4 linked regions of the Mytilus edulis genome follow. The protein of the gene in region 2 purifies or fractionates together with the protein of the main gene of each other region. This does not show direct contact. Links are inferred from orthologs where the notes say so. Each region holds a gene or a part of one and is shown on either strand. Other genes may lie near its edges. The genes, in order: nonsense-mediated mRNA decay factor SMG7-like, regulator of nonsense transcripts 1-like, histone RNA hairpin-binding protein-like and nuclear cap-binding protein subunit 1-like.

The links.
Region 1: the proteins of regulator of nonsense transcripts 1-like (region 2) and nonsense-mediated mRNA decay factor SMG7-like purify together in Homo sapiens (affinity purification with western blotting; 7 studies listed by BioGRID and IntAct, with this or other methods). This does not show direct contact. The link is inferred for Mytilus edulis from reciprocal best matches to the Homo sapiens genes UPF1 and SMG7.
Region 3: the proteins of regulator of nonsense transcripts 1-like (region 2) and histone RNA hairpin-binding protein-like purify together in Homo sapiens (affinity purification with western blotting; 4 studies listed by BioGRID and IntAct, with this or other methods). This does not show direct contact. The link is inferred for Mytilus edulis from reciprocal best matches to the Homo sapiens genes UPF1 and SLBP.
Region 4: the proteins of regulator of nonsense transcripts 1-like (region 2) and nuclear cap-binding protein subunit 1-like purify together in Homo sapiens (co-immunoprecipitation; 3 studies listed by BioGRID and IntAct, with this or other methods). This does not show direct contact. The link is inferred for Mytilus edulis from reciprocal best matches to the Homo sapiens genes UPF1 and NCBP1.

Annotation. Positions count from the first base shown.
Region 1 is NC_092345.1:80,929,833-80,937,952, reverse strand, and holds the start of nonsense-mediated mRNA decay factor SMG7-like, read left to right. Parts: upstream 1-4,562; 5' UTR 4,563-4,646; coding exon 4,647-4,672; intron 4,673-8,001; coding exon 8,002-8,033; intron 8,034-8,120. UniProt on the Homo sapiens protein: Plays a role in nonsense-mediated mRNA decay. Recruits UPF1 to cytoplasmic mRNA decay bodies.
Region 2 is NC_092347.1:39,449,479-39,457,889, forward strand, and holds the start of regulator of nonsense transcripts 1-like, read left to right. Parts: upstream 1-5,020; 5' UTR 5,021-5,200; coding exon 5,201-5,374; intron 5,375-7,430; coding exon 7,431-7,588; intron 7,589-8,106; coding exon 8,107-8,196; intron 8,197-8,411. UniProt on the Homo sapiens protein: RNA-dependent helicase required for nonsense-mediated decay (NMD) of aberrant mRNAs containing premature stop codons and modulates the expression level of normal mRNAs.
Region 3 is NC_092347.1:26,235,392-26,243,230, reverse strand, and holds the start of histone RNA hairpin-binding protein-like, read left to right. Parts: upstream 1-4,295; 5' UTR 4,296-4,568; coding exon 4,569-4,648; intron 4,649-6,771; coding exon 6,772-6,858; intron 6,859-7,839. Other genes in the region: M-phase inducer phosphatase-like, read right to left, coding at 1,065-1,162, 3,698-3,861. UniProt on the Homo sapiens protein: RNA-binding protein involved in the histone pre-mRNA processing.
Region 4 is NC_092347.1:28,671,463-28,679,204, reverse strand, and holds the start of nuclear cap-binding protein subunit 1-like, read left to right. Parts: upstream 1-4,106; 5' UTR 4,107-4,213; coding exon 4,214-4,259; intron 4,260-5,809; coding exon 5,810-5,901; intron 5,902-6,453; coding exon 6,454-6,554; intron 6,555-7,742. UniProt on the Homo sapiens protein: Component of the cap-binding complex (CBC), which binds cotranscriptionally to the 5'-cap of pre-mRNAs and is involved in various processes such as pre-mRNA splicing, translation regulation, nonsense-mediated mRNA decay, RNA-mediated gene silencing (RNAi) by microRNAs (miRNAs) and mRNA export.

The sequences.
Region 1 (8,120 bases), on a different chromosome or scaffold from region 2:
ACGCACTCAAGAACATCTGTATCGTTTTAAAAGACCCAATAAATTCAAAAGTATCATTTACCAACACCTTAAGAAGCACAACCATCCTTTTAAATATTTAGCAGTTCAACCTTTAGAAGTTGTAAATAAGCAGCCTGGTGAATCGCATTCAAAGTTTGTACGATCACGGAAAATAATTGAATTATATTGGATTAAAAAATTACAGACAGTTTACCCTCTCGGTCTAAATGATAATATCATGGGAATTGGTAATATATCTAGAACCAATTCCGTTAACATTTTGGATATAGTTTCTAAAACTGTTCGTAAAAAACGTTCTCACGGTCGTAGAACAAATCGCAATCAAAGAAAATTTCGGGCCAATCATACCAATATTTCGGACCTAATTTCTATTTCAAAAAACAACGGCAGACATTATCTGTTAACAAAACTCTGTTCGTTACCGGTTAATAAGTTAAATAAAATTTTGGAGGATTGCAACACAATTTCATATAGCAGTCCTAAGTATGAAATTGTTCAAATTATTATGGCATATTGTTATTCTAAATTATTTCCCAAAATTGATCGCCCTGAAGATCATAAAAAACATTTTATTAAAATTAAGTATGTCAATAAAGGCTTTGATTTTGTAAATATTGCCGGTATATTTAACGACCATTCTGTTAAAGAATAAATTCCTGGATATTTTGACAATACTGAGCTACCTCTTATTTGTTATATTTACAAGAAATCTACCCGGAAATTTGTGTTTAATTATAGTCAATTGTGTAAAGATGTTAATATCAGTGAAAATACACCTACTTCATGTAATTGCAGTAATTCCGAATATATTTATGGACCCATTTCCCATGTTATAACAGGAGATCTTAACATCGTTCAAGACCGAGAGTTAAAATCATTCCTCAGTAAAGGACCTAAATATCGTCCCCCGTCAATTATTAATTGGAATGAGTGTCGTAATATCATCCACGACTCACTCCATACTTACTGTATGAAATGGATAAAACGGGAAAAAGCTGACAAAAAATCTTTGGACTCTTTTTTTAATTCAGTAATGAAGATAGTTGATATACGTATTCAACATTTTAAAGAACATTTTACTATAAACAATAACCACAATAAACCTATTTCTCGTATCAAACATAAACTAAAAGAACTAGCCAAGGAATTTGTTTTTGTCCCGGCAGATAAAGCTGCTAATAATATTATTATTGTTTGACGTAAATTTTACATTGAGGTTCTGAAAAAGGAAATCACCAATTCACCAACATTCCAACTGACTCCATTTTCAGAAAACGAAATCTGTAACAAACATAAACTTTTAGCCACCGCTTTACAAGCAGAGCCAAATACAATGAAAGTCCCAACTATGTATTGGCTTCCGAAGCTACACAAAACCCCTTACAAATATAGATTTATTTCGTCTTCAAGCCATTGTTCAACTACTAAATTGTCTATTCTTCTTACCAGCACACTTGGTACAATTAAAAACCTGATAATAAATTGTTCAAATAAGGCCTTCGAAAATAGTGGAATAATTACTTTTGGAGTGTCAAGAACTCGTTGAAAGTACTTGATAAATTGCATGCTTATATTGGTGATTTTGAATCTGTTCAAAGTTTTGATTTTTCTACCCTGTATACCACATTGCCTCACATTCTCATTAAGAAAAAATTCACACACCTAATCAAATGGGCATTCAAAAAATCAGAATGTGAATATATATGTTCAAACTCTTTTAGGTCATTTTTTAGTAGCAATAAACAAAAAAACTATGTTAATTGGACATGCTTTGATACTATATATGCCCTTGAATTTTTACTAGATAACATTTTTGTTCGCTTTGGAGATTCCGTCTTTCGTCAGATTATCGGAATTCCAATGGGGACTAACTGTGCACCACTTATTGCGGACCTGTTTTTGTATTGTTATGAGTTACAATTTATGACAAAAATAAGCAAAGACCCATCGAAACAACATCTGATAAACAAATTTAATAATACTTTTAGATATTTGGATGATATTTTGGCTCTCAATAATGACGACTTCAGTATGTATATTAATGAAATTTATCCTGTTGAACTTACTTTAAATAAAGCTAATACTAACAATGACCACTGCCCTTTTCTCGATCTTGATATCTATATCACTAATGAAAAGCTGAATACTAAAATTTATGATAAAAGGGATGATTTTTCATTTCCTATCGTTAATTATCCGTTTTTAGATGGTGACGTTCCCTTGTCACCATCTTACGGTGTTTATATATCTCAACTTGTACGATTCGCTCGTGTATGTAACAATGTTTTCGATTTTAACGAGAGAAATTTATGTATTACTGAAAAATTATTACACCAGGGTTTTCGATATCACAAACTAGTCAAAACATTTACTAAATTTTATCATCGGTATAAAGACATCATTCGTAAATATAGCTCAACATGCAGACTTCTAATACGTTCAGGTATTTCACATCCAATTTTTTATGGTAATATTCTTTATAAAGCACAAAGGTGTCAGTATTCACCTCGGAAACTTACAAAACCTTTGAATAGACTTATTAAGAAGGGATATAATTACGATACTGTTGTCAAGTCATTAAAGATTGCATATTTTGGCGTTAATATTGAGTCACTGATAAGGTCTTTGCATCGGAACTAAACACATTTATTCTAAAAACAGTTGTTGGCATGACACGGGTTATGTTCTTCTCATATATGTTATGATGGTATGATACTAAACCCCTAACGGGAAGGATTGTGCCTGATGTTCATATGATGAAATCATAATCTTTCAGTCAGTTTAATTGAAGTCTGGAGCTGGCATGTCAGTTAACTGCTAGTAGTCTGTTGTTATTTATGTATTATTGTCATTTTGTTTATTTTCTTTGGTTACATCTTCTGACATCAGACTCGGATTTCTCTTGAACTGAATTTTAATGTGCGTATTGTTATGCGTTTACTTTACTACATTGGTTAGAGGTATAGGGGGAGGGTTGAGATCTCACAAACATGTTTAACCCCGCCGCATTTTTGCGCCTGTCCCAAGTCAGGAGCCTCTGGCCTTTGTTAGTCTTGTATTATTTTAATTTTAGTTTCTTGTGTACAATTTGGAAATTAGTATGGCGTTCATTATCACTGGGCTAGTATATATTTGTTTAGGGGCCAGCTGAAGGACGCCTCCGGGTGCGGGAATTTCTCGCTACATTGAAGACCTGTTGGTGACCCTCTGCTGTTGTTTTTTTATTTGGTCGGGTTGTTGTCTCTTTGACACATTCCCCATTTCCATTCTCAATTTTATTGAAGTGAATTGGTGAATCTGGTGAATCTGGTGTTTTTGACTGGCTGTGGTAAAAAGTAAAGGTTTGGATCTACTGCAATGAGTTTGAGTGAGATTTTGTACATCATTGTTACTCGATTGACGTTGCTGTGAGTTTCAAGTAGCTTCCATCTAAGATGGTCAGTCACTGCTGGTCGTATGGTACCTGTTCGTGACGTACGTAGCGTGCTGCCATTCTTTGTACTTTTTCAATGTTGTTTTTAGCTTGTTTTTGAGGTGACCAAACTGAAGAGCAGTATTCTAAACTTGGTCATAGTTTTTACCATGGATTTGTAAACCAAACATTTTTTTTTTTTTTTTTTTTTAGTTTCTTAAGAATAAAGATCAAGATCTTATTTGCTTTATCAGTAATGTTCTTGATATGGGTATCCCAAGACATGTTATTAGACTGACAAGGTGATACAAAATATTTTGCAGTATTGACGGATTCTTAAATGTTGCCTTATGTCATATGTGAATGGTGAATACAATCTAGTACAGTGAGACTTTTTCTAGGTGGAATTGCATACCCCAAGTTTGTTCTGGTTTTTAAAGGCAGTTCTATAGGTTATGTTGTAGGATGGTACAGTCTTGATGATTTTTTTTTATATGTCTGTATAAAATATTTTAATCTACGAACAAAAGTGTTTTAATGTTACTGTTACGTTTATGAAATGGGGAAAAGTACTGTAGTGGGCACAAGACTGAGCCTTAAGACACCCCACTGCCACATGCATTTGACTATAGATACCTCTACGTCATGGACAATCAATTGCGTACTATTATTAAGGAAGGCTGATACCTAATTTCAGTTTTCCCCTTATGCCATAGTTATCCATCTGCCTTATTAAGTGTTTTCTGTTATATTACACCAGTCCAGGACCTACCGTAAACTAGTCCGCTGACCCATAGTATTTATTATACCTTTGAAAAGATCATGATATTACTACATACATTTTGGCAAGAACATGTGTATATATGTATATATAAATAAATTGTTCCAAGATTTTGGATAATTATCAATAAAGATCTACTCGAGTTATCCCCCCCCCCCCCCCCCTAAAACAGAAAACACACTGATTAAAAAAAAATTATACTTTAATTTGAAATTTCGATAGTGAAAAAATAATTCAAATATGTCATTATCACACATATTAAGTCTTCCTGGGTGAGAAATTAAAGCCGTTTAAAGAGTAATTAATGGTGTAATTAATTATTTTTAGAGGAAAACCCATACTGCTAAGGGAGTTAATTTGGTCTAACCGGAAGTGCATTTCAGAAAAAGATGGCGACAAGCTAGCGAACAACTATTTTCGGTTTTGAAAAGTATGAGTGCAGCAGCACAGGTTTTAAGGTACTGGATACGCTGACACGAAAAAGAATTATATTTCAATTAACAAAAATGTACACTAAATGAGCTTGAATGTCTTGGTTTTGTTTTCAAGCCAACATTTATTAAAACGCATGATTAACTGTTTGGAAACTGTTTTTCATAGTGCGTAGTACTGAAATTCGTTTTAAAACAAATAGGATGTATCCACTGAACATTTACACCAATAAAATGAAAATTCCTATTCTTCTGACAATTTCTGTCTACCACTGAATCCCATAATGGACTAACTTGCTTAGAATTGGGTAGTTTCAAAATTAATGTCAATAAAACTACTGAAGGAACAAGTTTTTATTTTGTTAATAAGTATATATTATATATATCTATATGCTTATGCAATTAGAAATTTTATTAGTACGTATCAAGATTGAGTCAATAGCAATAGAAGCAATGGCTTATTTTATGACTGGAAGACAAAGAAAACAGGTATAATAAACACTCAAGAGGTAACCCACTCAAGACAATACATGTACATGATACCACTATTTGGAAATCTTTCCCAGTTGAGAACTTGACCTGAGAATCTGCCCCGCTTGAACTATTGACATCATTCAACGATCACTTTTGCATTGCCATGATTGTGGCATCAGATATTTTGTATTATGTCGTCAAAATTTTACGATGTCCTTTGTGATGTCCAGTATTGCAGACTGCAGGGGTTTCACTTCCTTTTGTTTGAAGGGGCCAATTAGAGATTTAAGCAGGCCCTTATCTGATAGGAGGGGATTTTTTTTAAAATTAGACGCAATATCCTGCATTCTGGGCATTAAATTATAGTTCTGAAAATGTCACTTTTACCACTAACCCTCCAAGATTTAAACAAAAAAGGCTTAAAAACCTGCATTCCTGGCAGATTTTTGTCTACCTTTGGGACCCCTTAAAAATTTGGACAGGGTTCTCGCTAAGGATTTTTGAAGGCGAGTCCAGGGACTCATCATTTTAAGCCATGATGAGTCCAACAGCTAGAAGAAAATAATTTATTGCAATATAATGTAATATTATAGTCTCCATATCCTAATAGAGCAACGAAATGACATTAAATTCAGATCAATTTTAAACTTTTGCTATAAAATGATGATATTCGTGTTTAACTGTGTTCAGTTTATATACAATATTTCAATCTTGATGCATCTGTGGACTCATCAGTTTTGAAAATGGTGAGTCCAGACAAATTTTGATGAGAACCCTGTTGGACAGCACTTCCCCTGCACCCAGCAGTTTTAAATATCCCCCTTCCCATTATCCCGGTCCTTCCCATTATCCCGGTGGTATGAAAAGATATGTAAAGAAAGGAAAACAAGAAGTGCTGGCCAGGCTCATTTGAAAGAAAACATGAGCTTCCACTTCTTTTAAATTTCATTTGATAGCTTTTAAAATGGTTACATACAATGTACATGTACCTCACAACTGAAAGTATCACCAGAAATATATCTATGATTTGGAATGGGACCAGAAGTTCTGCCAATGCACCTTTTCATCGATGTACCCTGTCCCCTTTTCGGATTCTCTGTAGTTTACGGCAGACCAACGGGGCCCGTTGTAGATCAATAAACAGTAAACTTTAACTTCATTCAAACTGTTCCAAATCTTGTCAAAATACATAGTAATCCAAACCTTTTCAACTCTTTGGCGTAGTAGTTGTTGAAGTGAAAAATTCATGAAGTTCTCTTCATTACTATTCATTCAATCATAACAACGATAAACATGTGTGTCAAACAGGAAGTCTGAAATAACAGCCAATGAAAATGGTCGTTGCAACCGCATGTTGGTTTAAAATATAAACACAAATCTTCGAACTCAGTTGTCATGATTTTACATAGAAAGATCTCATAAAAAAAAATTAGGACTTCTTTTTTTTTAAGGGCAACTGAACAGGCCGGAAATTGAATTGAACAGGTCAAAATAGCCGGCGGCTGGTTCTTAATGAAAACACTGAGACTAATAGTGACAAGGTGTATAATGAATACAGAATACAGTTTCCTATTTTATTATGTACATGTAATTTGCAGTATTTTTGGAAATCATAATTTTTTTCTGTCAGACACAGGACTGACAAAAATAAACCTTTTTTGGTCCTTCATTCTTTTTTAAGTTGTGACCTCATATATAAAAATCTCTCGATTAACCGAATGACATCACCGAATGACCATGATGACACTTAAATTTTGAATTTCCAAGCAAATATTGGTGACTTTTTTACATTGATTTAGCAGTAATATTACATTATAAATGTATGACATAACTTAAAACTGATTTATTAAAGCAGGTAAGTTCATAAAATGTCATTCAAATTTTGTGGATAAATCTAACATGGTGACCAAGGATATCTAAATTATTTGCACAAGCCGTTTGACTGAGGGGAATTAATTTAACATGTCATTATGTGCTATAGCAAAAACGACCTCATAGTTTTGGTCATTGAAATCTCAGGAACCTTAGCGAGTTATCAAATTTTGATAAAATGTAGATAAATATCACAGGTTAAGTGTCCATAAGCTTTTCATAGAGTAATAAGCAGTTTACCTATAAAATGTGTGTCAATAGCGTAGGTTAATGGAGTTGGAAGATAATTTTTGGCATTGTGTTACGCATATCACTGTGACTTGCAATCAGCAATATTTTTTAAGCAAACCCAAACTTAATCCCTGTTCCAAATGTTATACAACATGTATCATTTATTTAAGAAATCATTTAAAAAGATTTAATAAAGCAAATCAATAATATAGAATGGGAATAAATGTCATGTATGCTTCCTGAAAAATTCCAGTGGACTATTTTATTGCAATGTCCCTCCATCTGTCTCTGTGTCGGAAACAAATGGATTCTTGATTGTAACCTGAGTTTCCAATGCTGGATAGGAATTAAACTAATACAGATGAATGACAAAGGAAAGGAGAAGACACCTATCATTTTTGTGTTCATAAATTAAAATGTTTTGTTTTTTAAAATATATATTTTTGTTCGAAAAATACCTCAGAATAATTTCTGGATTGAAATTTTGGTTAATGAAGCCTGATTGACATGATTGGGGTGTAATTAGGAAAATTTGTAAGATATAGGGTAGGGGAAAACATTTTTAGATTATAGAGTCAATAGTTCAAGGTCTGGTCACTTTATTGCTAGATAGAAACTTCAGGAAAAATTGGTTTCTAGACACTAACTATTGCAATATGTTTTATATTTTTTTTTGCATTAAGATATGCATGGATAAACTAATATAAATGGAGTATGCAATATTTTTTTTTATTGATTCAGATACATGTATTAATACAATAAATGTCTTTTTGTTTCAGACAAGCAGAAGCACTTAAAGCCAGTATATCAGGTATGCTTTTAAAACATTTCAGAATGTACATTGTAGTATCTATTGTATACAGTTTTTACATTGATGACCAGGATAGACAATGATAGA
Region 2 (8,411 bases):
CTTGAGAAATAATTGTATGATTTAAATACGCGTAACAGTCTTTAGAGAGAAAAGGGGGGGGGGGGTCATTTGTTTACAAATGCACGTAGTTATGCAAAATAAATAGATCAAGATTTCTAACATATCGGATGATTATTTAAATAAAACTCCTTTAAAAGTAAATGAATTTTAAGCATAAGGTAATGAAAATAAAAAACTGACATAAAAAAAATGAAATTTCTTGGAGTTTTTTTTTTTCTTTCTTTAATTTCATACATAAAAAATGGTCATTTGAAAGATTAAATTAGGTGCCAAGAGATTGCGAGAATGCAGGATTTTTCTCTATTTATGCCAGAGCTTCTGGGGGCCTTGAGCGGCCCCAAGACCCCCTGCCGTAAGGCACCAAGCTTACAGCTTGGTGGGCGTCCGGCTTCGCCGAACGCATGTTATAGCCGCCTATAATTTTAATTCAGCCTTCTACTTCCATTTTAATGGAAAGCCCTGATGTAGTTTTCTTTTTATCACACAAAATGGGATTTTCCATGCATAATCTATACACAAATATAGTCAAAATCTGACAATTTTGCACAACCTGAAATTGACCTGTAATGTGAAAAATATTCATGTGATGCATACTTTTATTACATTTTTGAAAAAAGCACGACAAAAACTACATTTTGACAAATTATTAAAAATTTCTATGGATTTTAATTAAGGCTTCCCTGCCACCTAACAGATGTTCCTTTAGGCTCTGAGAAGTTTAATTTCAATCAGAATGACAGAATTTTCTTCCACTTGGAATTAAATTGTAATGTATTAATAGTAATATTTAAACACATATATGAAAATGACATCCTAAACTCAGACTCAGGCACCTGTACGTTGTTGAAGCTAAAGTCTTAGAGCAGTTTCAAAACCTAACATTAGTAGTGACAGTCATTTGTCAAAAAAGTTGTGACAGAGAAATGTTATGCTATAATCATCATGATCATTGTGAAATTGATATATTTTGAGTATATGCCCCTTAGCATTGAGGATCTATGATTGGTCAATAAAAACTTTTATCTTGAATCTTGCTTCTTTGAGTTTGACAGCCAGTTTACAGAATTAATAATTTGCGAATATATGTTTGTTATTATAAGCTTTTGCATGTATATCCTATTACTCAATCGGTTAAATGATCCTACTCTTATCAGCTTATCTTACTTCAGGTTTCGAAGTAACCGAGTCAATTTTGTAAACACAGTTCAACGTGGTTTAGGTACCTGTGCACAACGTCACTGATATTGAGGGAACCCAAATTCGAATAAATGCAAGATTTCACAAGTAAAATGAACGTTGTTACAATGCGTATAAAAATACCACTATACAGTTAAAATTGTATCACTACATAAAAAAATCAATTATGGAATGAGCTGCCAAACCACATAAGACAGGAAAATTGTCTAACTCAATTTTCCAATCTAATACAGAACTGGAATGGCAGCTCATGCCAATGTAATGCATGCCATTAGTGATTGATACATAGCTTTGCTTCCCCCCTTTTTTTTATATATTAATACTAAAATTAGCTAGCTATGGTTTTATATTTCTATCTGCATAAACAGTACTATTTTATTTCCTTATGTTATGTATGTGCTTTCAATAAAACAGTACTATTTTATTTCCTTATGTTATGTATGTGCTTTTAATACCCTGCTTTAATGTATGTATGATTGTCTTAATATGTGTGTTTTGTTTACATATTATTTGCTTGTGTGTAATTTATTATAATGTCGATTTTAAAAGCTTAAGAGCTTGTGTTACTTTGTTTACTATGCATCGACAATAAATAATAAAACTTTGATTTGATTTGATGATACTGTTACTTCTAATTTTGATGGTCTATTGGTTTGTATTGTTGGTTTTCGATTGAAGGAGGTTTTTTCAAGTCACAAGTTCACGATCTGGGACTTAAAGTGTATTACCCTATTACAAGTCAGTGGCGTAGCTAGGTCATTTTTGCGTGTACGCCCGAACCTCGGCGAGGGGTCTGAAGACCCCAAACTGATCCATGTCAAACAATTTCTGGTAGTGGATTAGATCTAGGGAGCGAGGCCCCCGGAAGCTAATGAGTTATCGAGAATGAATACCATTCCTGTCATTAAAAACTCATCAGTATCAACATACTTTAGAATCTAGATGGTTTATTTGTTATGTTAAATTATTCATTTTGTTAATTTGAAATAAAATAGTTATTGGATTCAGAGATAATGTCAAAACAAGTAGCTTTTAAATATGTTTTAAAAGAGCTGTGAGGGTAAAGCCAGGCGCGTAGCTCCCTATACGCTAACACGAAGTTGCGTGCACATCGATTCGGCATGCAAAAAAAATAATGGCAAAATAAAAATTTATCAATTGAATGTTAAAGGAAACACGTATGTTGTCACTTTTTCAATTGATAAAATATCATTAAATAACGGCATTTGGTTTCAAAATAAAAGTTTTATTGGAGATGATGGCAAAATCGGACAGTAACTTGTATCTTTTACAAGATTTGAATTTGTAATACTGAAGTCTTTAGAAGACATGTAGTTTTGGAGCACATTTTACAGTGTACGGTTCATCAGTTTGGAATGAGATGTACCAATCGGCATTGGAATTATCAGGTCCCTTCGATATAATTGAAAATATGCCGAGGCGATGTGGTCGGCAGACTACCTGAGCCAATCACCCTGCAAACACGCCAAAACAGTATTGGAAAGTCTCATTATGTTTTGCGTTCATAGACCATATGATAAGGGAACTGGAGAGTGGAGTCGCGTACGTCTAGTATTATCAGAAAATCGCTTCTTTGTGCTGTATCTGCTTCATCGTGTTGTAGGAAATATAACAGACGAACAAATCTCAACATTGTCTGAGACATACGAAACTGACCTGGCATGTAATTTTGACGAATTTAATTGGGAGGTCGCTCGATGCCGAACATGTACGCTGGTTTATAACATCTTGCGAGTGCTACCATGGAGATCTATCAGTGTACTACGTATGTTGAAAACAAATGTACGATCAACAATGAACAACGACATACAGTTACTGCATATTCATCGGTATTTCAGTGTGAATATTGACAAAGTAATAGAGAAGTTTGTTTCTGCCTAGACCCGAAGAGCAGATTTTTGACGATTTTGAGTAAATTCTGTATCACAAATATGTTTTCTTTATGTATTACTCTATTCAGAAGATTTATTAATAGTTTTACAATAATATTTTTTTTATAAGTCCTCACTACATATAGTGCCTCTCATTAACCGTCCTTTGACCGAAAACCGAAAAAAAACATTTTTCTGCAAAAAAAATTTGGGAGTTGCTTGCACATTGTTTCTTTCTAGCTACGCCCCTGAAAGCAATTAACCAATTAACAAAATCACCTTTTAATTTCCAAATTTCGTAAATGAACATTAATCTTCAGAGATTTTCAGGTGCAATAATAGATATCGTAAAGGGTTCTGTGGAATGCTGTTTTTTTGTGTCAAGGATTCCCCCTGCAAATAGTGAATCCATTTATCATTCCATTACAGGATTTTTAAAAAATCCAACATTTTCTTTAGATATTTTGTCTTGATCTTGAGTACTAGTTTTGGCCCAAGTTTCATGATAATTTATGAAGATTGATGCATTGATAATTTATAAAAAGCCATATAGGATCGCTATGTCGCGCTTTGGCATCTTAAATACAAATGTATGTCACAGGCTCAACAAAACTGTAAACCACAAAACGATTCTAAGGAGATAAAGGATTGCTTAAAACAAAAGGGAAGGGAGTATAAAACTCACATTAGCTTCAGACTTGACAGAAAATGAACAAATAAATGATATGATTCCATTTGACTGAAAGTAAATTTTGTCAATTTTATTCACAATTACAAGCCAACGAAGAAAGAATTATAAAGCTGATGTGCTTCTAACAAGTTATTTTTATTTTCTTTAGATTGCTTTTTCAATAGCCTTGGAGAAGTCCATATATAATTAAGCAATCTGTTTGCATTCCTTCGTCTAGGTTTTGTGTAATATCATCTATGAAGGGCATTATGTTTGTCTGAGTGGGACATGATGTTGTTGGTTAGGTAATTACATGTATGTGTTCCATGATTTTGCACCTGCTATACACGTTAAAGATACCGTGGACGGTAGTTTTCTGCTTTGTACTTTTGACCTTTTTTTGAAGATAGGACAAACGTTGGCCATTTTCCAGTCTATTGGTAATTCTCCATATTCATAAGAGTTTTGGAAGATGATACTGAATATTGGTGTTATTTCGGTGGCTATACGGTTACGGTTTAGAACCTTAGCAGATGTAAGTTGGTCTCAGTGGTCCATAAGATATAACACATAAAACTTCAGTAAGAGTCGGTATATGCAATTCAAGTAAAAATACAAGCTTTGAAGAGCTTTTAAAAGCAGCTGCCGTGTGTGATCGATTTAGACTTTATTAGTATTTTCAGTATTCCATGCATGACATATCTGCCAGTGATGTTAACTTCTGGCATAGATGGATAATTTTTGTTTGAAGATCCACATCTATCTTGGAATTCCTGGTTTGAAATGCTTGTTCTCCCAGAAAAAGCAGACTGAAACTGTTGGTTAATTGTATATTTGCTTGATCATAATCTAACTTGACTGAGGATCTTGAAAAAATAGGGTCGACTACCCTATTTTTTCAAGTCAGTGGTAATTAAGACTGATTTCTGCTAATAAGCAAGCTAACCAAATACTCTACCTTAACCTACATACTCAATGCATTCTGCTGTATAAAAAAAGAATATCCATTAAATCATAGTATTCATATATATATAACATCACGAAAGACCAAAGTACATATGCATCTATCATGAGTCATGATAAAAAAAAAAACATATTTTATCTTGTACAACACTGAAGCCATATGTTTTGCACCATTTGAATGCATATCGGTAGATGTATTTATGTATTATATTTCGATATAATTTAGAGGCACTTTACAGGCTCAGTCCTGTGTTTCTACAATTTATTTCTGTCTTTTATTCATACCGGAACGTCATCATAATTTGTTGTGGTAGTGACGTCAACGGCCTTGGACACAAATGGCATGAGTTAGGAGGAAACGCATTCCGACCAATTATTTCCCGTTATTGACATGAATTAAGAGTCAACACGTTAAACAGATATAACAAAGAACCGTTTGTAATCAAGCGATGCCAATATGAGTGTTGACGCTTACGCCCCGAATTCCCAAACGTTGACATTCCTTGAAACAGAGGAGGATCTCCTTGGGGCCGACACGCAAGGAACGGATTTTGATTTCACTGATTTTACGCTCCCGTCTCAGACACAATCTCAAACTCAAGCATCACAGCTTGACTCCAATCAAAGCCAGGTAAATAAGCATGTCAGTTTTCTTATCAGTTTAACTTGTCATGGAACGAAAGTATGCAACACGTGTGCAAACTTGATTGACTTTCAGTTTCAACGAGTTTCATTCATGGCAATCATACATTTAAGTGTATACAATAAATCAAATATTTATAGTATTTACATTCCGTCAAATTACATTCATTTTATCCAGCCCTTTCAAAACCAAAAACATCCTTCCAATTTGAGCTGTCTCAACTAACACCTACTACTACTAGTACCAGCAGAGCTCTAGATAAGCTGCGTATATGCCTGATCATGCAATATAAAGAAAACAATTGAAAACCCAATACAAGTGCCCATTGCAGCGTTCAAACACCCAATTCATGCAAACATGCAAAGGAAACCCCTTTTGACATGATTGAATGTGAAAACCTTAAGTCACTATCGTGTTATCTATTACATTGTCGTTGTGTAAATCTACATTTGTAGTTTTGTTATATTTATAAGTGGAAATGTCCTTTTGTTCTTAAAATACAATAGAGTGACACCTCAAGTAGTTGCAATGGGTCCCTGTTTGAAGTTTCTGATGCTCAAAAAGTACATGTGTTGAAGAAAACAGGTTTCGATCTTCTCTGCGTAATCAGCGTAAGTCATGTCATCATATTTAATTCTATCGTATTGATCAGAATTTATCTAACACATGTCAATGAATTAAAGCAAAATAAAATTTGATAAATATTTAATAGAACCATGTCTCAATCAACTTGAAAGTAAGTAGTACACATGTTCCCTAGGCTATGATATGATCTTCTAATTTCAATGCCAAATAAAGACATTTGAACCCAATTTCACGGTCCACTGTTCAAAGAAAATGATAGTGCTAGTAGGGCATCCGTGTGATATTGGGGTACAAGTCAAATTGGCATCCGGTTAATTCAGCACCCACAGAAAAAGTCAAATTGGTACCTGGTTAAATCGGCATCTAGTCAAATTGGCACCTATTTGAAGTCAATTGGGCATCCAATTATATTTGATATAAATATATATAAACTATTAAAAAAATGAATAAATGATCTTTCTATTTCTGATTATTTTTAGTTTTTTTTTAACATTAATGACTCAAAATTCTATGACTCAGACTGTTGTTTTGATAAGTTTTCTTTTCAATTAATTAATTTTAAGAATTCACTAGTACCTATACAAATCTTTGTTGATTAAAAAGTCAACCAAACCCATGTCTTACTAGCATTATTAAAAGAGCTGTACATCAGTGTACATTGTATCTCTATAGAAGTAGTTATTGATGTTTTTTTTTTTCTTCATTGAAAAACTAAATAAAAAACAATGAAGCCTTTTCGCAAGATGTTGTTTAATCATGAGAAAGTTAGAAGTAGTAAGAGGGAAAACTATGAGTCCTTTTCATTAGTATCACTAATTATATGTAATTCTAAGGTCGTTTTGCAGGAAAGTTTAAACAGCATTAAACCAACAATCATGCAGAATGCTCATCTGGTTGAAACATGCATAAAAAATATCTTACACCTTTAATACACTCACATTAATTTGAACGAAAAATAATGCATACAAACCCCCCCCCCCCCCCCCGAAAATGTAAATTGGTCAATATTTTGGGACAACCCCTTCTTTATTTTAATCGATTTGCTTAGAATACTGCCGAAAAATATATATTAATTGATATAAAATATATAAGACATATTTAATATGGGTGCCCAAATTACTACATCAGGTGCTGATTTAACCAGGTGCCAAATTGACTAAGTGCCCATTTAACTATACTGGGTGCCGATTTGACCAGGTGCCGATTTGACTAGAATTCGACACATTCTTGTTTTTGAAAGGTTAAGAAATTCATGAACTACAAATATAGGACCCTTGCTAAACATGCAATTTTAGGCCACAAAGATTTTCTAATATTTTGTACAATGTACCTTTCTTCAATGCTGAGGATTGTAACTTGACATGTTGGATAGACTGAGACCTATGTTTTTCTTATAAATGAGAATTGAAGTTTTATCTTTTTGAGATGTGTTTGTAACTTTGTTTATAATATTTATCAGGTGAATGGTATAGATGGCAGTATCCCTAATGACGTGGATGCGAAAGGTACCATCGAGGTGAAAGTTAATAATGTTGCACAGGGAGTTGGGGAGCTGAACTTTGAGGAAGATGAAGAAGAACAGTTTTGTATGAAAGATCTCCCCAAACATGCATGCTCGTAAGTTCTCTTAATGATAACTATTAAAAGCTATAAACATTTGAAGTATATGGCTTATAAAGAATAATCATGATCTATAAATGTATTAGTTGGAAATGGGCGACAGCTTAAGTAAAGAAGAAACAGTGCAGTTTCATTTCAAAAATATGATGATAATCTTCCATGGCAATTTTTTCTAAATAATCTTCAGAGATAAAAAAAAATTGTAACAGAAAGGTGAAAAAACTAAAAGGACATTAAAACTCGTAAGTTGAAAATAAAATTACAGTACCAAGGCGAAAAAAACAAGACGACAAACAGGATACAAAACATGAAGAAGGTACAAATTTTATGTAATTAATTCCTCAATCCAAATACCTTAGACTTTGTATAAAAATTCACTTGTTAGGCAGGCACCTGCTACATTTTGTACATGTATTATTGACTATTTACCAACCTGATTTCAAATGGAAGTACAAGTTACAACTTCTGCTCTATTGATTGTATACATTATATTTAAACAAGGTTTTCTATTATAGTTACTGTGGAATTCATGATCCAAGCTGTGTAGTATTTTGTAACAGTACAAAGAAATGGTTCTGTAATGGTCGTGGTAACACCTCTGGAAGGTTTGTATTCTTGTCATTTATGAAGATAAAAAGTCATGGTATTATCAAGATTTTTCTTGAAATATAGAAATGGTAGAGAAACAGTTGAAAAATCTGTAAGAAATGTTAGATAATATTTTCCACTTTTATTTTCTCAAGCAGGGGTATATAGTGATCCTCCATTTGTTTGGTCGGGAATTTGTCTGTTCATTCTTTTATTTGCTCATCAGCACTTG
Region 3 (7,839 bases), about 13 Mb from region 2:
TAGATATGATTTTTTTTCTTAATGTTAAACAAATATACTTTTTTTTTGGGGGGGGGGGGGGTGTCTTCATGTCTGTCCACCATGTAAACGTAACAATGGATCACAAAACATTCTTATTTCTAAATGTATAGTTTGAGATTTTCTTTTATAATTAGTATTTTTTGGGTTGCCTTGTGTGGTTTGTTTTCAGTAATAATATATTGTACCTTTTCTTTAAGAACAAGAATTAAATTTGGTTGAAAAATTACTATACAAATCTAAATGGAAAGGGAATTTCATGGATTGAGATAAAACTATTTCTTCCTTTTTTTAGGCAGTTAATGAGAAATAATATTCATTCATTCACGTAAAATCTTTTCCAATTTTGTCCCCAAGCAGATTGAGGTAATCAAACAATTATAAAGGTGTAGAAATGTCCAAGTGGTCACACCTCTCACAGTGGACATTACATAAACTTAAAGTGTTTTTTTTTGTAAGGCTTTCACTTCTATTTTCTGCTTCATTGGAAAGAAATTACATCCCTTTAATTGTGAAACTAATGAACCCCTTTAAACTTTTTTCTTAAAAGGGGAAAAGAATCAAGATTACTTGATATATAGATTATATTGTTCAAATGTTGTTTTTTTTAAGTTACATTTATTCTTTTGAAACAGATATTTCCTGTGATCCAGACTGAAAATACAAAATTTCCTGAAGATGATCCTGTGTAATGTCAAAAGTAAATATCCTGAAACACTAGTCAGATTTCCTGTATTTCAGTTATCATAATACACAAACAAATATTCAAAACATCAAATGTGATTGGTTGTCTAATCTTATTTCAAAATAGTGTTACAATCATTGTAAAAAGAATACATTCTAGCCTTCAGTTAGCGAAAAAAAAATTAAAACATTTTTTTAAGATCGCATTTCTTAATCCATAACTTCAGCACATAAAAGAGTATACTGCTTTATCCCTCTCAGACCAGTTTAAATTCATTTTCTTTAAAATAGTTTTTTTTAATTACTTGAGACAACCAAGGTTTGCTTTTCATGCTTTAATCTAAAAACTATAAATGTTTTACCTGATTCTGAAGAATCCAGTCTATCAGGTGTTGGTTGGCATTGTGTGGGTGGTGTATCGATGCTGGATAAAGATAACTTTCTTCTTGGTGTTCCTCCCCTGAAAATAAGTGGTAATTAAAGAAACTTGTTCGAACACAAATCAGATGACATTAACAACTTACATTTTTAAATTCACATACCATATATCATATATATATATATATATGCTTCACATATTGCAGTTGATTATGCAACAGTGAATTCTATTTAATTTAATTTAACAGTAGTATAACATGAAAGAACCTCTGTTTACATATGCCATAAAAAATAAACTTCAATCAAAAATACAATTTTAATAAATCAACATATTGACAAATGAGTAAAGTCATCTTGCATCACAACCGCTGTAAGATTATGTTTTGACTTGAGGGGGCAAAAAGTTTTCCAAAGTCCATTTAAATTAATACTTCCCAATGATTGTACACCCTATGGGAACATAAAATGCAACATAAATTTTTGTTTTGACAGTTAACATTATAACTGTTAATAGTAGTTACAGAATTACAAAATACTACCTTTTGGTATTGATAATGCAATATTAAATTTTATTTGTCTTTTCCATGCATGTGATTATGTTTATAAAAATATATACATGTCTACAATTTGAGATTATGAAATACTTTTCCCTGATAGGGATATAATATTCACCCTTCAACATTTTTAATTGAAATCTTAGTTTCTGCATTAATACCAGAACATTAACAATGAGGTACAATGTTAGACTTTACCAGTAAAGAAACAGTTGAATATATATTTCAAATATAAATAAGTTAGAAAATTAGATACGAGCCACAAAGTTGAGATGGGGAAATTATTTTTTGTCCAATTGAGTTAAAAAGCCAGATCAAGCTGCATGTATATTTACTTAAACTGCAGATATATACAATAATCATGACAACAGTTATACATGACAAATGGAGCAAAATGTGTATACATAACCTAATTTGACATTTTAAGTAAATTTACATTTGATTTTAATAATCATTAGTACATTAACCTTATATATAACACTTATCTAGTTGCAAAAATGAAGCTCTTATGGTCCTTATATTTTTCTTAGGCAGGCTACAAATTGTCAATACCATCATCACAACAAAAAGAGCGGAAGCAGGACAAGTCGCCCCACTGGCAAGTCGCCCCACACCTAGTCGCCCCACTTTTTCACCAACTCGCCCCACTTAAAAAAAAAAAACGCCCCAACCTGGATCACCAACTCGCCCCACTTTTTAAAAAATCGCCCCACATGTGAAATTGGTTAAATCATGTTTAATATTACTCCTGCCAACTCGCCCCACTTAATGGAAAACGGTAATATTTAGATATCAAATTAAAATATAAAAACTCGCCCCACTTAAAAATAATTTTCGTATTATTGAAGAATAACTGTATTTTTTTAAGATTAGTTATTTGCATAACAATTGAAAAGAAACCTGTTAATTGTATCATAATGCAATATATCATAATACTTAACGGATTTCAATTAACAGCAATTTGTTATCAGAGCAATTACCAGATTGATTACTTTTGTCTCTGAATTTAGAATAATTCAACACTAACGACCAATCAGAGGAAGGCAAATGTTTCTTTCAAGTAAATATCAAAGTAACCTTTGACATGCATTTACTATGTCTACTGTGTATCCTTGTGTTGTGTGTGACGGAATTTAACTTATATACAACGGGATAACATCTTTTCCCATAAGTGGGGCGAGTTGGCAGGAGTAATATTTACGGAATTTAACTTATATACAACGGGATAACATCTTTTTCCATAAGTGGGGCGAGTTGGCATTACTACATTCATCCTGGTTAATAATATAATATAAATCTAGATATTATCGTTTTCTTTCAAGTGGGGCGAGTTGGCAGGAGTAATATTCACGGAATAACATCTTTTTCCATAAGTGGGGCGAGTTGGCATTAATACATTCATCCTGGTTAATAATATATTAATCTAGATATTATCGTTTTCTATAAGTGGGGAGAGTTGGCAGGAGTAATGTTTACGGAATTTAAGTTATATACAACGGGATAACATCTTTTTCCATGAGTGGGGCGAGTTGGCTTTACTACATTCATCCTGGTTAATAATATGTTAATCTAGATTTTATCGTTTTCCATTCAGTGGGGCGAGTTTTCAGGAGTAATATTAACGGGATTTAACACATTTCACAAGTGGGGCGATTTTTTAAAAAGTGGGGCGAGTTGGTGATCCAGGTTGGGGCGTTTTTTTTAAAGTGGGGCGAGTTGGTGAAAAAGTGGGGCGACTAGGAGTGGGGCGACTTGCCAGTGGGGCGACTTGTCATGGATTCAAAAAGAGCTATGGTCCGCAGCTTCATGTAACACTTATCCTGTTATCAACTAGTTAATTGGTTCCACAATTAATACCCATTCAAATTAATTATATAAATATATATAATTTTATTGCTGGCGTCTTATTTGTATTAAAATGTAAATGTATGAAAATACGCTGAAAATACACAACACAAACTGTTGATATCTAATATAAAAATAAAAGCAGGAACTTAAGGAACAAGTGATAAATAAAGGAATCTATTTTAAGTATAATAACTGAAACTGTTCAGTGTCCTTACCTCCCTGTATGGAGTTCGCTCAGATTCATGGCAAGGCTGGTGACTGGTGAATTCATTTTTGATGGAGCAATATTAAGTGCATTCAAAAAACTTAAATTATTGCTAAGATTTTTCAATGGTAAACGCAATCGTGGAGGCTTCTTTGAAATGCTACTTTTAGACATCTTTCGAAATCAAGGCAAGACTGTAAATGAAATGAGGGTGTTGATGATAATGATGATGATAACGCTGACAAGGAACTGTACATCCAGATCTTGAAGTTTTTGTCCCTCAAAATTCTACCAGTGCATTTATCTTCCGTTCAACCGCTAAATCATGGAATACACAACGACACTGCCACAAAGCAACCGCAAGATTTTATCATGAACTGTATGCCATTTTTACTTGTTCCACTCATAAAATGTATAAAATTGCGGTTGCATTGACAAAGCAAATTCTTTCCTATTCCATCCTTTGTGTGTAGTTCCAATACACTTTTTACATAGTATATTTTTGTAGATCAGATGTTCTTCAGCTGTTCTGTGTATAGGAGAAGCCGCCGTCCGTTTTGAAAAACAACACAGATCTAACCAATCAAACTTCGGGAAACCAAGCATGTACAAACAGGAAGTAGATTTGGAGGCAAGTGATGTGTATTGGCTTAAATGAACAAAAATTATTTTCTTGGTATTTATTTGCCCTCAAATTATGAAGTTTAACAAAATATGCACCATGAAAAAATAAAGATTTTTTTTGCCAAAAAAAATAAATCTTATGAATATTCATAATTCTTTGTTTTGGATTGAGCGCGTGCGTAAACTAGTGGCGGGAGTTACAGAGAAGAACAACAACAGACGGAAGAAAGAAAGTGGGAACGATACAGAGACTTAAAATGACAACTGAAATGAGAAGAAGAGACTTAGATGCACACAGAAGATCAAGAGATCGGAGAAATCAACACTTTTCAAGAAGGTTAAATTTGGTTTTGACAAAGCTTTAATTTTTTTAAGTAGAAAATGAAAATTTATTGGGTGAGCGTTTGTTTAGCCCGACCTGACCCTTGCGGTAGAGAGTAAAATATTTATTTAGATTAAGCGTGTACGAACGATTAAAACATAGCTCAGAAGAACTTATTGTTGAATTTTTAATGTACCAAATTAAATATGCTATACATTTGTGGATTGAATGTTGGCTCCTACATTTTTATAATACATTTGCGCCAACAATATTATTTGTGTTGTAAAACTTTATAATTTAGTCCAAACAATACACCTTATCACTATTTGTCTGCCATTACTAGACATCACATAGGTTCCCTTAAAAATTTGTCGTCATGATACAAATTATATATGACGATGTAACATTAATTGCATCTGGACAACCTTGAGCTCCCTAACAATGAAAAAGTGATTGTTGTATGACGTCAATAGTTTGAGCAGGACCATGTCTGGGATCAGCCGATAAGGTGTATTAAGACTTCTTCAAGTTCTTGAAAGGCTATTAAATTTTTATGTCCCACCTACGATAGTAAAGGGGCATTATGTTTTGTGGTCTGTGGCTCCGTTTGTTCGTCTGTTGGTCCGTTCGTCCCGCTTCAGATAAAAGTTTTTGGTCAAGGTAGTTTTTGATGAAGCTGAAGTCCAATCAACTTGAAACTTAGTACACTTATGGCTTATGATATGATCTTTCTAATTTCAACATATGTTCCCTATAGTATAATCTTTCTAATTTTAATGACAAATTAGATTTTTACCCAATTTCACGGTCAATGGAACATGGAAAATGATAGCCCGAGTGGGGCATCCATGTACTTTGGACACATTCTTTTTTTTTCTGTGATGCCTTCCAATGACATCCTATTGTAAAAATTTGGCAGACCTGAATTTACACTACAGATAATGTAAATTAAAGATTACCGAAATTCTTGTCCATCAAATTTTACCAAGTTTGATATTTAACTGTAGCATTTAATGGGACTACCTACGTGAAGAATAACTGTTATTACCGTAAAAATTCTTGCCAAATGAAGTTAACCGTAATTTTTGGTGCATGATGATGAAATGAACACTTTCTTATAAATAATTTTAAAAATCGTCGGTTTAACTAATTTAAACTCTTTAATGGTAGCTGAAAATGACTGGTTGACGCCTGATGATAAAGGGCATTACGACCCTCTATTATGTCAAAATAGGTTACTAGACTGGCTTCAATTCTCCCAATTTTTTGTTAAAAAGAAGGTTTCTTATTTTAAATTCCTGTAAACAAACATAAGTGTCTTGTAAACACTTTCATTCAAGCATTATACCAAGATAACTTGTGTTCAGCAATGTTTTTTAGTAGGAAATATAAGAGGTATGCTGACCCCGGTAAAACATTTCTCATCGTCGGCTGTCTGAAGCATTGACTGCGAAAAGGTTAAAACCATACATTGTAGTTCAAATGATAAATCAATACAAAAGATAATGGCCCCAAAAATCATGTATTGAAGGCTGTTTTTTTTTTAACTTGATGATAATGTTGTCCTTTATTCAAATGTTTGTACTATGACAAAAAATATCTAAATCCATAGTTTATATTGTTATCACTGAAAATTAGTATCCGTTGTAGGGTATGATACACTGGCCCTTGTCTCGGAAAATTTATGGAGTTGCAAATTTCCTGTTTACCAGGATGATATTAGAAATTTCTAATGAGAACACTGAGTTCAGAAATTGATAGATATGTCTTGTAACTTCCATTAGTAATTATTTCAGTCTGGGTGAGTCATAACTAGAATGAAATCAAAACCAATTTTGTCTATGTTGGGTGTATGCAAACATTATTGATTCAGATTGTTATTAAGCTTAATGTTTAGTGGCACTTATTTCATACATATTCAGGAAGCGAACAGAACCCATGAAGGGAATTCTGGTCTGTTTTGGCGATTTGGTAGATTTTGTTGATTTGAATTGTGTCAATTTGAACTTGTCTGATATATATTTTGCCCTTTATTTTCAGATTGTGAAGGATCAGAAACAAATATTATTATTGTGACATCTAACTGTATTTGAATTATAAATTTTCAAATGTTTTATATTGTCTTCTTTTTTTTTCAGGGAGGAAAAGTCATCTGGACCTCTTAGCCCTCTGAGAAGTCCAATGAATAGAAAAATACAGTCAGATATTAACTGTGATAAGAACAGGTAACATGATAATGACTCGATGAAGTTAGCCCAGGGTTTCAGATTTTTTTTGAAAATGCCCTTACCTACGGTCAAGTTATATATAGATTTTACTCTCCAACATCAGTTTTCACTTTTCTGTTATATTTTTGAAAAACATGAAAACAGGCTTGATATATGAAAAACAAAAACATTAACAACTTTATTTGTCATGTTTGTGAAGATACAACCGCTTTGAAAAAATGTTTGATAACAGTTTTAAGTACAAATTTTGTGGAACAGAAGGGGCATTAATAGGATTGTTATTGCTTCAATGATGACAAGAAATGGGAAAGGCAGCATAAAAAACCCTGACAATATCTGCAGAAAAACTGTAATCCTCAATGTTATAAGATGCAAGCTAGGTTGGACATTTACCTGCCTCTAATTTTGTTATGCACATACATTGTAATGTACTATGAAACATTTATAAAGCTTTAATACTCTTGATACAAGAATATTTAAAAAATGATAAATCATCAAAATTAATTATTAGAATTTATTTAAAACCACTGTTCTTATTGTGTAAACTGACATAGCCTTAGGGTTTCATGTTTATGGTCGATCAAAGAAGATGCAGGATCTGATAGATTATTCTGTAGATATAGAATTATTTCGATTCTAATAGGAATATTTGAACGTTTTCACTTCGAAGCGGACCTATAGTAGACGCTCAGAATGTCGCCATTTTGATTTCATGAACCAAAAACGTTATAGAAAATCAGCATTTATCAATAAAAAAAGAACAGAAACATTTAAACTTACTTTTAGAATGTTTTCATTTAATTTCCTAGCCAGCAACACCAACAAAAATGTCCATTTTGATCTCTGGCGTTGTTCAAAATTCATCTGACGTTGCAATTTCAATTGTGACGTCAATCACGTGCAGCCCATGTTCTATTTGAATTAGAACATGGCTTTGTACCCAAAGCTTAAGAAGAACGTCATATTAGAATCAATCTT
Region 4 (7,742 bases), about 11 Mb from region 2:
ATAGGGGTAAAATGTAGATTTTGACTTATAACCCTAAAACTGAAGCATTTAGAGCAAATTTGACAGGAGGTTGAATTGTGAATCAAGTCAAGATCTATCTGCCCTGAGACGAATCAGACAACCGGTTGTTGGGTGATGCCCCTGGATTGTCAATTTTTGAGGAAATTTGCCATGTTTGGTTATCAAAGATATAGATAAACTGTAAAAAGCAATAATGTTCAGCAAAGCCAGATCTACAAATTAGTCATGTGACCAAAATGGTCAGTTGACCCTTAAGGAGTTATTGCCCTTTATAGTCATTTTTTACCAATTTTTAGTAAATTTTTGTTATCTTTTACAAAAATCTTCTCCTCTGATACTACTGTGCCAAATTTAACCATACTTGGCAACAATAAGCATTGTGGTATCTAGTTTAATAAATGTGTGCGGTGACCCAGACAACCAACCAAGATGGCCGCCATGGCTAAAAATAGAACATAGGGGTAAAATGTAGATTTTGGCTTATAACTATGAAACCAAAGCATTTAGAGCAAATCTGACATGTTGTTTTGTTGTTTATCAAGTCAACATCTATCTGCCCTGAAATTTTCAGATGAATTAGACAACCGATTGTTGCGTTGCTGCCCTTCAATTGGTAATTTTTAAGGAAATTTAGCCGTTTTTGGTTAGTATTTTGAATTTTATTATAGATAGAGATAAACTGTAAACAGCAATAATGTTCAGCAAAGTAAGATCTCCAAAGAAGTCAACATGGCCAAAATGGTCAGTTGACCCCTTAAGGAGTTATTAGCAATAACTTTATTTTATTAAACGGTGAATGGATCTCTATGATTTTAAAAGAAGGTTCAATACCACAAAGGAAGGTTGGGATTACTGTATAAGTATTACGATTTCTCTGAAATTGTACCACAATGTTTAATACAACAAGTAGAAGGTTGGGATTCACATAAGGGGTTAGGGGGCTAACAGTTAAGGAAATAATGGCCTAAAAGGGGCCAAAATAACATTTTTTTTCCGGACAATAACTTCTGTGAAAGTGTATTGATCTCTCTGTAATTGTACCACAAGGTTCCATTCACAAAGGGTAGGCTGGGATTGAGTTGGGTGGTAATTGCTCTAATCATGTAGGAATTAGAAGCCAAAAACAAGCATTTTTTTCTTCTAGTTTCCAAACAATTGCTTGTGTTTAAGTGTATGGGATCTCTCTGAAATTGTACTATAAGGTTCCATACCACAAAGGAAAGAATTGGATTGAGTCCTAGAGTATTGCTCCAAGGGTATTCCAAAAGTTGGAGGGGGGATTTTTTTTCATTTTTTTTAAGGAATTCATATTTTTTTTAAACAATTTCAAATTTTGGAAAAGTTTCAATAAGAAATCTTCGATTGCACAATAGATTTGTAAGATCTTTGGCCACATTTATTTTGTTTCAGAAACCTATATTATGTCAAAAAAATTGATCACAATCAAAATTCAGACAGTATCGAGCTTGAATATTTTATCCAATTTGCCACAACTGTTCAGAGTTCGACCTCTGCTGTCGTATCAGGCTGCGCTCACCGAAGCATTTTTTTAAAAAGAAAGTTCAATTCCACAAAGGGTAGGTTGGAGATGACGGTCCAACTTTTTAGGAATTGAGGGTCCAAAACAAGCATTTCTCTTGTTTCAGGCTAATAACTTGTGTAAAGTATTTTGATTGCTCTGAAATTGTACCACAATGTTTAGGGACTTTTTTTTTTATCTGGGAGGGGGGCTGGTCAAAATACAGGGGGGATCAAGTTTTTTTCTGTATGTGGAAAAGGGGGGTTCAATTTTTTTATAAATTCAAAGTGGGGGGTCATTTTTTTAAACATAGAAATCAGCATTTCACATACTTCAAGAGATAAAATTTAAAGATGAACATTACAACAATCAAATCAAAACATATTTTTAACATCATTCATAAAGACTTTAGTGATGTAGGAAGCTGCATAGGTGCTTCATAATCCGAATAATCAAGTCGTTATACATGTATTTCACTCACTTTGATCACTAAATTAACAAGCGTTACTGCCAAGTTTATTTTTAATCAGCTTAATAGTTGGAAAGAAATTTAGTATAAACGAAACGAAATCTACAGCGATTTATGCAATTTTTTTCCCAAAATACAAACCATACAGCATCATGAGTGGAGAAATAAATTCTCCAATAAATTATTAAATATTCATCTACTTTGCATTTGAATATTGATAAGCAAGATGTTTCTGAAATGATGAACACCAGTAAAAAGTAAAATCACAAAAATACTTTGTGTATCTTTTTGTTTTCATTATAAGATCTCTTGGGGTCAATTTTACCTCTAACTTCCTGAAAATGTGTACTTTTAGGCTAATAAATCAAAATTTTAATGGTACTTTCACACATTTATAAATGAAATGTGACAATAAATGAGTAAATAAATTGTTCAAGCTGAAAGCATGAACTATCCATATTTATATAAAAGTTTAGCGACTCAATTGAGATTTCAATAAGACTTTGCGTAAAACTTTAGTTTAAGAAGCGTTCAAGAGAGGGACATATAATGGATTCCTCTCAGTAAAAATGCGTTGTTACTGTTTCAAAAAGTTATTTTTTACAGTTACGTAGGGTCAATAGATTAGCACAAAATACAATGATATAGGAAATTAGAAAAAAGTCAGAAAAACTACTCAGAGCACTGGCTTCTACCTACTTCAGGTACTTATATTTATGGAATTAAGAGGCGTCATGGAAAAACAATATTCCAAGATAATTTTCTCTTAATTATGATTTTGAACTAAATCCACTGAGAACATTTCATTTTCAATATTTTCGTGAAGTGTTTGAAAGGAGAAAATTTTGTTTGATAGTGGGGGGATCGATTTTTTTTAATGATTTTACTGAGGGGATCAAATAAAAATAGTGAAACATTATGGGGGGATCAAAAAAATTCGTATGTTTAATTTCAAATGACAAGACCCCCTCCCAGGTAAAAAATGATAAATAATACCACAAGAAGAAGGTTTGGATTTATTTTGGGGTTATTAGGAATTTTAAAGGGCCAAATACAAGCATATTTTTTTTTGGGGGGGGGGGGGGCTGAGGGGGGTAGGAGGGGTCCTGATCCCGAAATCCCGGCTTAAAACCATGAAAACCCGAGGTCCCGAATTTAAAAAAAAATCCCGGATCCCGAAAGGGTCGATCCCGAAAATCCCAAGATCAAAAACACCCGAAAAATGCCCCCTTGTTATTTAGTTTCCAGACTAATTTTTTTGTCAGTGTTTGGATCTCTCTGACATTGTACCACAAGGTTTCATATCTTAAAAGGAAGATTTTAATTGATTTCGGGGTTGTTTACCCAAACACGCAGGAAAAAGGGTGAAAAACAAGCAAATTTCTAGTCCAGAGAGTAACTTAATTGTGCTTTAGTGTATGGATCTCTCTAAGATTGTAATACAAGGTTCCGTATTACAAAGGAAAAGCTGAAATGAATTTTGGGAGTAATTGCTCCATGGGGGGATTCAAAACGTTGTTTTTATTGAGGGGTTCCGATATTTCAAGTTTTTCAAATTATTTTTTTTCGGAAAGTTTCAAGAAGATATCTTCAATTGCACAATATTGCACAACAAATTTGTAAGATCCTTGACCACGTTTATCTTGTGTCAGACACCTATATATAGATACCGGTATTATGTCAAAAAGGTATCACAAATTGTCAATTTAAGTTTAGACAGTATCAAGCTTGAATAGTGTGTCCAAATTTGCCCCATTGTTCATTGTTCGACCTCTGTGGTCGTATCAGGCTGCGCTCGTCGAAGCATTTGATCTTATATTGTATGCAATAGGTCTACTATATTTTGTTTATGAAATGTTTGTAGGATGTAGATTTATTAATGAATGGGCCACTTTTATTTATACATGTTTTATTCAGTTTGATTTTTTTATAGTCACGCGCATATATTATTATCTTCCTTAAATCAAACTTTTTATTCGCTAAGATATACCGAAATATTCATTTCGGGTTTGAAATTATTGTAAGTTTGAGGTGTATCAAATTGGTCCGATTTATGATGGTTTTATGGTTCACGTAAACTTTTAGTACGTTAGTATCCTCTATTTTTCGGTTCTAAGCTGCAAGGCGGAAGTAAGCGCAAGATCAACTTCCGGGGAAACAAAAAGTAGCGTGAAAATCTTGCGTTTCAAAAATCGACGTTTAAAATGTCAAGTCGTAGACGACACGACTCTTATAGTGACGAAGAAGATGGTGAGTAATATATCTTTCCATTAGTAGTTGTCTTTACGTGCACGAAATAAAACTTACAACAAATACGACCAAATAATGTGTCAGTGAGAGCAGAGCGGTTTTTATTTATATTAAATTATCCAGCCCTGCTTCGCATAAAGAACGGGTTATGGTGCAAATTGAAATTTATTTATCAATTAGAATAAGAATTAGGAAAATTGTTATCTGCACTTTCGGGATTTAATATTGTGAAATCAGATTTATACAGTGCACCTTTTGGTTGAAATGAATGTTTTTAAATACAAACCACTCTGCTCTCAAATTATTTGTTCGTACTTGTTACACCCCCTCCCCCTTTTGCAGCAGAGAGGGCATTAAGTTTTACCCTTGTTCGTCTGTACGTCAGTCCGTCTGTATGTCTGTCCCTCCCAAAGTTGGTTTCTGTTCTCTACCTTTAATTTGCTTCAACCAAATGTTATGAAACTTATACAAAATGCTTATTAACACAAAACAAAGATTAAGTTTGGTGGTGTCACATTTACCTTTGTTGAGTTATGCCCATTTACAAATGAAAAAAATACTGATTTTTTTTGTTTCCGTTCTCTAACTGTAGTTTGCCTCAACCAAATGTTATTAAACATAAACATATATAATGATAAGAATTCCAAAATACAGATCAAGTTTTGCGGTGTCACTTCATCCGTTCTAGATTCATGCTCCTTTACAAATGGAAAAATAGGAATTTGATTTTAACCAACTACAATTACGGACACAGGAAATAACTCCAATTTGCAAAATTTATTTTACCAATTACATCAACTATAACCAATGGCAATGCTTAATATACAATGCAATGTTCATTAAAAAAAATAAAAACAATCTTTACCTTCGGTGCTTACAAGCACTTTGAATAATGTTGTTCAGTTTTGTCCCTTTATAACCTTACATGATATTTTGTTTCCATTCTCTTTCTTAAGTTTGTCTAAACTCAATTGAATGAAATGTTTATATATTTATAATGCTTATTACCACTTATCTCAGTTTAGGTTCAAATTTTGGAAGCATTACTTTTACAGTTTTTGAGTTATGTCCCTTTATAATGTTATATGCTAGCTGGGGCATCATTCTCCATTTATTTTAAATGTTTTTTTGTTAAAATGTAGTGGCTCAAAAATAAGACTACTACACTACAGTGTTCAAGCGAGGATTTCAAAAGGGCAGGGATCCAATCATGAAAAGGGTACTTAAGCATGCTGATTGATAATTCAAAAAGGGCATGCCAAACATTGTATTTTTCCCCCAAATTGAAAGGCTATGAAGAAATACAGAAAATTGCTAATGAAAAGCAATGGCAATCATTATTTGTGGGACAAGATTAATTTGATTGATAATTTACTTTCTGGAAATTAGCTTTCTGAAGTCTGTATCTCAACTTTTATCATCTTTGGTTAAAGCTACTGTACTTTTCAATCTGCAGGTGTACATAGTACTTGCCCATGTTGACAAGTTATGATAAGAGTTCAGAAATTTGTTTTTGTGTAAAAAATAAAGTTATGTGATTTTATGTTTAGGTCCTTCCTCAGTAAGAAAGAGAAGACGAGTATCAGAAAATGTTGACATTGAAGACAGACTTGAATCACTTATAACTAGAGTTGGAGAAAAGGTAAACAAGAATAAAACAAAAAATAAATCAAAAAGCACAATTTAAATCTATTTAAATATTTAAATCATGGTAGATTAATAGAAAGTAATAACTGAGAAATAATTCTTTTCATGCATGTCCTTGATTCATTTTATTTGTAAATATTTACATTGAGTGTTATTCTAATTTGGTTTATTTTCATGAAACTATAGCAGAGGAATAGAATCATGGCGATGTTTATACTAAGTTATAAAATGGATAAGTTAACCATGTAACTACCATAAACATAGAACAGCATAATCATGATAATAGGCCACATCAACATTTGACTCATTCAAAATTCAGTTATACAACTAATAGACAAAAAAACCAATAACACATGGTCCAGGTAGTCAGACTTGGTTCAAATGTAAAATGTGGTGGTGTAATTTGCTTGCAAACTTTACCCAAATGTCTTACGGAAACACACAAAAAAAAACTTCCATGCTCTAGCTAAAATGTTTACTAAACTTAAAACTTTATCATGTTTATAATATTATCTTTTGAATAATATTCAATACTTTTGTCTTGCAGAGTACATCCTCTTTAGAAAGTAACCTTGAAGGCTTAGCTAGTGTCCTGGAGGCAGACTTGCAGAATTACAAGACAAAAATCCTTAAAATTTTAGTAGAATGGTAAGTGATGAAGTTAAGTTTGATCATGTTTGATGCAACTCTGTATAATTGTGTATTTATAAAATTAGATAGATTCCTTGTAAAAAATACTTAAAAATGTAAGTTATTGAAAAGGATCTTGACAAACACAAGCAGAATTCTTTATTAGTAATAAACGATGTGTTTTCACTTACAGGATTCTGTTTGGATAGGAATACAGTGGCGGATCCGGGGGTGCGCACCCCCCCTTTATTTTTGCCGATCAATGCATTTGTATCGGGACATATGTTTTGCACCCCCCCCTTTGCCCTGGGTTACCTGGGTTAGCACCCCCCCTTTCGAAAATTCCTGCATCCGCCCCTGGAATATACCAGTGGGACATTATTATAGAACTAAATTAATGAATGTAAAATATTCATATCTTATAAACATGATAAAGCACCTGATTTCTTAAAGCTCTTCTATAAAAGCTTGCAAAAGCTAACCTTTGATCAACTTGGTTGTTTCATTATGTTTGCTTGGATGTTAGCAAACAATAGGTAGGCGTAGTTTCAATCTGCTTAATATATACATTTTACTTGGATTTGATTGGACAATAAAAATTGACATGAAATAAAGTTAATGTTTGTTGTCCTATTAAATTTCAGTATATAGTAAACAGACTGAAACAAACTACCTACCTGTTGTTTACAAACATCCAAACAAACATAGCAAGCAAGTTGATCAAAGGTTTGCCTTGCATGCTTTTATAGAAGAGCTGTAATGAGTTTTTACATTCTGCTTGCAAAACTTGCATAATTTCATTGAAAAATAAAAGCAATAGATTTTAATAAATATCTGTATTCTAGACAACTGATAAAGTTTTTTAGAAAATATGTTTTGGAACTAGGTTTTATTTTTTTACATTAAATAAGAAAGTCGATTTGAATTTTAAAGGAAATGTCCTGTTTAAAGCATAAGTGTAAAACAATCAATTTGGTAAATTTGGAAATGCCATTTTACCTCCCAGTAAAAGATAGGGACTGGACTTGGATCCACACTATTCTAACCCTGGTGTTACACCAACTTGAATTGAATATAATACATATACTGATGCCTGAATTAAGACAAAAATTGTGATAAAAAACAATTTGTTTTATTACTTGTTGGATTTCAATGAGAATTGATAGCCTCCAATTTAAGAAATGCCCAGCTAAATACCAAGTGGTA